Linked DNA regions of Arabidopsis thaliana. The protein of the gene in region 2 purifies or fractionates together with the protein of the main gene of each other region. This does not show direct contact. Each region holds a gene or a part of one and is shown on either strand. Other genes may lie near its edges.

What was found.
Region 1: the proteins of PGK (region 2) and MDAR6 fractionate together in Arabidopsis thaliana (co-fractionation; one large-scale study listed by BioGRID). This does not show direct contact.

What each region holds. Positions count from the first base shown.
Region 1 is NC_003070.9:23,728,087-23,731,838, reverse strand, and holds the start of MDAR6 (monodehydroascorbate reductase 6), read right to left. Parts: upstream 1,965-3,752; 5' UTR 1,745-1,964; coding exon 1,735-1,744; exon of another isoform or gene 1,645-1,734; coding exon 1,470-1,644; intron 1,393-1,469; coding exon 1,293-1,392; intron 1,201-1,292; coding exon 1,123-1,200; intron 924-1,122; coding exon 852-923; intron 702-851; coding exon 583-701; intron 469-582; coding exon 384-468; intron 263-383; coding exon 173-262; intron 13-172; coding exon 1-12. Other genes in the region: ROH1 (uncharacterized protein), read right to left, coding at 2,665-3,752. UniProt on the Arabidopsis thaliana protein: Catalyzes the conversion of monodehydroascorbate (MDA) to ascorbate, oxidizing NADH in the process.
Region 2 is NC_003070.9:29,924,945-29,928,696, forward strand, and holds the start of PGK (phosphoglycerate kinase), read right to left. Parts: upstream 1,693-3,752; 5' UTR 1,518-1,692; exon of another isoform or gene 1,383-1,517; 5' UTR 1,352-1,382; coding exon 1,157-1,351; intron 857-1,156; coding exon 779-856; intron 691-778; coding exon 430-690; intron 342-429; coding exon 24-341; intron 1-23. Other genes in the region: FTSH12 (FTSH protease 12), read left to right, coding at 2,032-2,460, 2,690-2,874, 3,081-3,307, 3,524-3,752.

The sequences.
Region 1 (3,752 bases), 6.2 Mb from region 2:
AGGGAATACAATCTATTGTTCCACATGGGAAAGCCCAAAAGCAACTGTAAGTTAGTACATCTGTTCCACAATTTATCTGAACGTTTCTAGGAATTTGTTTAACTCATCGAATGATTAGAAGTATTCTTCATTTCTAGCACAATTTAAAAATTCAAGTGAAAGGGATAATAACCGTTGTATCTAGATTCCACGCAACAGCTGCAGCAGCAACCTCCATGCCGATGTAGCCACCACCAACAATGACAATTTTCTTTGCCTTTCCCTGTATCACATATTGGAAGGTTATTTTGTAGCCAGGAAATTTGGATTTTTCTGATGACGCATATTACAACATTGCATTAAGATGACAAAACTGGTAACTGGTAAAAATGCCCTTAGCTTACCAGAGATGCTATCAGTGAATCAGCATCTGCAACCTCCCGAATATAGTGAACCCCTGGCAAGTGCCCACCGATTTTATCTGGGAACCTACAATAAAAATCCAGAGCAAATATTCATAATATCAGTATACATGGTTGAAAAGGCCTAGGTTCTCTGATGTTGTTTATCAATCATTGCAAAAAAAATGCGACTTTCACTCACCTTGAGGCTGTACACCCTGTAGCGATAATTAGAGATCCATATTTTAACTGCTTCCCTGCGTCTGTGGTGAGTGTTTGCTTTTCAAAATCAGCTCCAGCCACTGGATCTTCATATATTACCTGTCCAAACAAAATGCATTAGTAAGACACAAGAGAAGACCACAAATTCACCGACGTACATTCCAAGCTGTACAGTTAATCAAACCAAAGACACTTCACTTACATTCATATATTTTAGAAAACAAAACTATGTATCAGAAGATGAATTACCTCAATTCCTTTCTCCTTATACCAATCTGGTGTTTGCCTTTCTCCACCACCTCCAACGCAAGTATGAAATCCCTGCATATACGACCACCCTCAATATAAACAGAGATCACAAAACTAAATCATACAAATCTTCATATCAGTAACAATCGTAACACTGTAAACAATCTACCGGTACTCATTCCATAATGTTCATGTAGCCAATTAAGAGCAATAGCACTAAAAGAACCACTCAAATTGATCGAATCAAAACATTAAAGTTGGCAAAGCTTACTGGTAAACGAGCTGGCTTCTTCTCTGGTGGGAACAAGTAAGCTTTTGTCAAAGCCGGTCTCTCATAAGGTGCGTAAGCCTAACAATAACAACCACAAATCCAACAATCAAACAAAGTAAAACCAATAGTGTTACTGATGAAGAAAACACTAAGGGATCGATTTGAATCACCTCTTTGGTCACAATGCATAGCCGACCATCAGCCATTCCATTTTCCACAAAAGTTCTAGCAGCATAACCAGCAGCATTTCCTCCACCAACAATCACAAACCTAACACAATCACACAATCAATCGCATAGAAATTCATCAACGCCAGAATCAAAATTGGAAGAATTATATATACGAACTCGCGATTCTCGTTAGCGAACGAAGCAGTGACGAGGCTTCTGGAAGCGATTCTAGAACCGATCGGAGAAAAACGAGCGGGAAATCGGCGAGCGAGAGACGGAGAAGACGGACACCAAAGAGATAATCCGGACTTCGTCGGCAACGTGGTTGATGCTAACGCCATGACTCTACGAACTGTAACAACAGATTAGAGAGATAAGATTTCGATCTAGGGTTTTGACAATCGAGGAAGAAGATGGTGGTGAGTGAGAGAGATAAGAAGACCTGCAGACATTAGTTTATAAGAAGAGCCAAATTCAGATTTAATTATTGAAACAAGTGTGTGAGTCTCTCTGTAGTGTTGGCTCTATAACAAAGCTAAAGGGCAATGAGAGTAGTTTGAAATTTGTGAAAAGAGAGATGATTTATTGTAAAAGATGGGTAGTGAAGAATGGAGCTGACTTGTCTTGTTGCTTTTGATTCATTTGTCTTTTGACTCCGAATTTTAATATCTTTATTGACATTTAGGCTTTCAATAGAACTTGCAAGTTAATGGAACTAAACCATTAGCAGATTACACCATTCTATTTTTAGGATGGAAAACAATTCGTCGCGGACGAAGCTTATTTTTAAGTTAAAATGGTAGTTGGTCTGTGGGGATTTTTATTTTATTTTCCTAGGACAACAATCCCTAATGCATAATGTTTTACGATACCATTGTAAGGGAGCTAGAGTTAAGAGGATTTGATTGAAGTTAGTCACTCTAGCCATAATGATTTATGTTATGTCCTTCAAGCAGATTATTTCATGGATTACATAGAGGTTGTTATGCTCTTGTAGTTTAAGAGAGTTTGATGATTTAGATTTGATACAAAAAAATTGTCAACTTTTGCAGATAAAAGATGATTTTAACTTTTAAAATCCTCCATTTGCCTTCTTTGATCTCACATTCTCACTTGTGAAAGCTTCGGAGCCGTAACTAAAGGGTTCCTTCAAAAATTTAAATTGTTTTTGGATATTATGCATTAATTTAACAAAATGAAAAATGAAAAATATAAGGAGAAGGGAAAACATATGACATGGGCCTGTCCAGAGTTCTAAAAGCCCAACCATAAATAGAAAAACAACAATAGACGAAACCAAGAAAATAAAATATCCTATTAGCCCCCAAAGAATTACAAAACTTCGAAATTGATTCCCAATAATTCAAAACTTTTACACAACTGGCGCCGAAACTTTCCCGGCTTGCTCCAACACCTCGAGAATCTCCGCACGACTCCTCACGATCCTATGAAAAACTTCTCTGATCTGTTGCTGTAACGGCACAAGCTCCTCCTCCATTCTCCTGCATATCTCCGCCATCTCCGCCACTTGCACCGCCGCAGATTCAGCAGCATCTTTCTCCGCCGGATAATGAAATCCATCTGCGAATTCCATCAACGAGTGACCTAGCTTCTCCATCCTCGTCATCTCCTCCATCAATCCAGCAGATCCTTTCTTCTCTTTCTTCTTCCACTCATCTCCGATTTTCTCATGGATTCCGATCAAACTCTGAGCCCAATTCAAATGTTTCGGCGGCACTGGTAAATGATTCGCTAATCCTGATCTCTCCTGACACGGAACCGCCGCCGTTAGCACCCACATTACGAAAACCATCACCGTACTCATTATAAACATTGGTTGAGGCAATCCCGCCGCTTCGTTACCACGTGGCGGCGTAAGATTCGCTGTCATTGCGTGGATCTGCTTCGCCGCCGACCAATTTCTCCCAACCGCCCACGACGACGATTTGAGCTGACCAATCGTTGCTCCTCCTTTACTCGCCGCCGATGATCCACCGCTTCGACGACCAAACGACCACGATCTCTCCGTCGTCTTATTCCCTCCGCCGCCGCCACCACCTCCGCCGCTAACATTCTCTTTATCCTCGAGACTCAACGCGACGACGAGATTCGCCAACGCGCGTTTAGCTCTCCTCACGTTACCGTCACCTAACGGACGTTGCTCCAAAGCCGTCACAGCAATCTCAGCTAAACGCTGGTAATGTCTAACGGAATCGATACCGTTAACAACGGCGGTACAAATGTCAAGCGCTTTAATCGACCGGTCTAACATTTCAGGAACTAACCGGTCAAAAGGCGGCTTAGAAATCTGGGTCGGGTCACGACCCATTAACAAAATCGCTTTGAATTCAGCTTCGCAACAGAGGAAAACATCCATCAGCTTACGAAGCCAAGTCACGGACATAATCTGCTCCGTCGCGGCTACGGAAGCTACCGTGTTAATTTCATCTGACGGTGGTG
Region 2 (3,752 bases):
ACCACAATGACTGTGATAGTTACCTTGCTGTTAGCATCGGGAGCAAACTTGTCAGCAATAACCACATCGGTTGGGAGCAAGAGAGAGACACCTTTGGCCTTTGCTTTCTCCATGAGTGACTTTGCCAAGTCAAGCTTGTCCTCCTCCACAAGGGAAGATCCGACTGAGAGTCCTTGTGCCTTGTAGAAAGTAAAAATCATACCTCCACCGAGCAGGAGGATGTCAACTGTGTTCAAGAGAGACTCAATGACACCAATCTTTGTTGAAACCTTTGAGCCTCCAACAATGGCAGCAAAAGGCTTCTTGGGGTTTGCCACAGCTCCGACAAGGTAATCAAGTTCCTGACACAATAAAACAAGTAATAGTCTGATCAGTAAAATAAAGAGACTCATCTAAGAAGATACTCTTTATGCTGCAAATTTTAAATACCTTCTGCATGAGGAAACCAGCAACTGAAGGCTTCAAGAATTTGGCAACTCCCTCAGTGGAAGCATGAGCTCTGTGAGCAGTTCCGAAGGCATCATTAACGTAAACATCGGCAAGAGCAGCAAGCTTCTTTGCAAATTCAGGATCATTCTTCTCTTCCTCGGCGTAGAACCTCACATTCTCCAAGAGCAAAACACCACCTTCAGGTAGTCCTGCAACCAACTTCTGGACTTCCTCACCAATAGAGTCATTTGCCATTACAACCTATTAACACAAACAGAGTGAGAACAGTGTTCTTTTAAAAGCTAATGTTCAGAAACCTTGCAAGTCTAGAAGAGGAAGAGGAACAAACCTCAACACCAAGAAGTTCAGACAATCTGGGCACAAGAGGCTTTAAGCTGTACTTAGGAGTAACACCTTTTGGGCGGCCCTGAAACATAAATTGAGATCAGATACATCCATTAATTCAACAGCATCATCCAATTGAACTTGAGTATAAACATATCCAAGTAAACTTACTAAAACAATTACCCAAACAACACCAGAAAATCAACCGATAGAGTCAATGAACATATTGAAAAACAAGAATACTATATCTACATCCTAACATGCAAAGAGACTCTTCTTATACGCATGGCTCTCCGGATAAACAGATCAGATCAAAATTCCCACACCAAAATTACAACAGATAAGCAAGTAGTGAAGTGAGAACTGAGATAAGATATCATACCAAGTGACTGCAGAGAACAACCCTAGATCCATTACCCATCAAGTACTTGATGGTGGGAACAGCGGCACGAATCCTGGTGTCATCGGTGATGTTAGAGTTATCATCCAAAGGAACGTTGAGATCAACCCTCACGAACACACTCTTTCCCTTCAGATCCGCTTCCTTCAAAGTTCCAACGCTTCTCTTCGTCGCCATAGTTGATTCTTCGTAAAACAAACTAAAAACACTGCAAACAACAAGATGCACACCGCGAGTTCAGATTGACGGAGAAATCAACCAAATCGGTGAAACAGATCTAGAGAATCTAGCTCAAAACTTAATCGAAGAAAACAATCGGAATCTGAAGAAAGAATATACTTACATGAGTGGTTGAAATGAAATACAAGATGATCGAACGTTACAGAGGCTGGTATAAAGAGTTGGTGAATGGATCTTTCGAGAAGCGAGAGAACAATATCCCTTCCTTATATAAAAGCAGCTTGGACAACACCCCAAGAAATGTCCCTATAATTACCCTTTTTGCCACTGTGTCTCTCCTTGGATTCCACGGTTTAAATATATTATTTTTCGGATAGTGGGCTGATGGACCTTAATGGGCTAGCCCAATTATATAACTAATAGGCTTCGAGCCTCTTTGAGTTTAAGCGTCATCTTTCTCCTTCGAAGTATTAGGACACTCTCAACGACGGATCAGTGTAGATAAACCTCCTTACCGGAGAGAAGCGTAAGTCTTGCCGGAGAGTCGAGTGAGCTGAATGGTTGGTACTCACCATTTTCCTTCAGTAATTTTCTCAGAGAGAGCTCTTTAATCGGGAAAAATCTTCAAATGCGTCTGGTTTTGTTCTCTTTTTAATTTTTTTCTTGTGATTTCATTCATGGAGATTGCAATTTCGTATAAACCGAATCCGCTTATCTCTTCATCGACTCAGTTGTTGAAAAGATCAAAAAGTTTTGGTCTTGTTCGGTTTCCCGCCAAGTATGGACTGGGAGCTACCCGGAAAAAACAGCTCTTTCGAGTCTATGCGTCTGAAAGTAGTAGTGGGTCTTCATCTAATAGCGATGGAGGCTTTTCGTGGGTGAGATTGGCTCAGTCTATTCGCCTTGGTGCCGAGCGGATTGGGGAGAAGATTGGAGAATCTGTGAAGACAGAAATTGGGTTTGACTCGGAAGAAGCAAGTGGGAGAGTGAATGAGTATGTGGCTCGAGTTAAGGATAGTGTGCACAAGGGCCATCACGAGCTGACTCGCTTTAAGAATGAGACAGTGCCTTCGTTTATTGATTGGAACAAGTGGGAGCATTGGAAGGTAAGCTGGTTCAGCTTTTTAACGTAATTATCAAATTTCTGATTCTCAAGTATTGTTAGACTTCTGCTTGTGTTCTAAAACATTGAGGGACAAACGTATGGTATTTATTTATTTTGTTGTTGATTTAACGGAAGCATAAATTTTGGAGGAGACTACAACTACGCTTATTCTAGCGACATATACTAGTGTATTAGGTTGTTTCTTAATGAGGGAAGATGTATTGTATCAGGACATCAGGAATTGGGACGGTAAACGAGTTGCTGCCTTGTTCATATATGCTTTTGCGCTGTTACTTTCTTGTCAAAGAGTTTATGTTGCCATCCAAGCTCCTCGGGTAGAACGAGAGAGAAGAGAGTTAACAGAGTCTTTTATGGAGGCTTTGATCCCCGAGCCATCTCCTGGAAATATAGAAAAGTAGGTGCTTCCTAATCCTCAGTTTCCGATTGTAATTTTCTCTACTGGGACATGGTAAAATATGGTTCATATTCAAACTATGGTATCATCCTTTAACAAGTAAATACTCAGCTAATGAGGCATCTAAAGCGTCAAGAGTGGGAAGACTAAAAGAACTTCTGTTTATTTGATTTTGTAGAATGTCCTGACTTATTCTAGTGTTTCAGGTTCAAGAGAAATATGTGGAGGAAAGCAACACCTAAAGGCTTGAAATTAAAAAGGTTCATTGAAGCGCCTGATGGAACACTTGTCCACGATAGTTCTTATGTTGGAGAAAATGCGTGGGATGACGATCTAGAGACCACAGAGGGATCTCTCAAGAAAATAATTGGTAGAAATGCTAGGATTCAGACAGAGGCAAAGAAGAAACTAAGCCAAGATCTGGGTGTCTCTGGTCAGTATACATTCGTTAGGTGATACTTGTTTAGTAGTGGCATGCTGAAGATATAACAAGAAGTGATTTATTGTGCGAAACCTTTGTTTTTGACGACCTAATCTTATCTCACTAATCAAGTTTCTTTCAGAGCAGCACTTCTAGATCCCTCATCTACTATCATTGGTAACCTGTGCTTTTGACCATCTAATCCTCTATTGCATTCTTCTATGATAGGTGAAATTGGAGACAGTGTAGGTAATTGGCGGGAAAGGCTTGCAACCTGGAAGGAAATGTTAGAACGAGAAAAATTATCAGAACAGTTAAACTCCTCAGCGGCGAAGTATGTGGTTGAATTTGATATGAAAGAGGTAGAGAAAAGTCTTCGCGAAGATGTTATTGGAAGGACATCTGAAACTGAGGGAACTAGAGCTCTCTGGATATCAAAGAGATGGTGGCGATATCG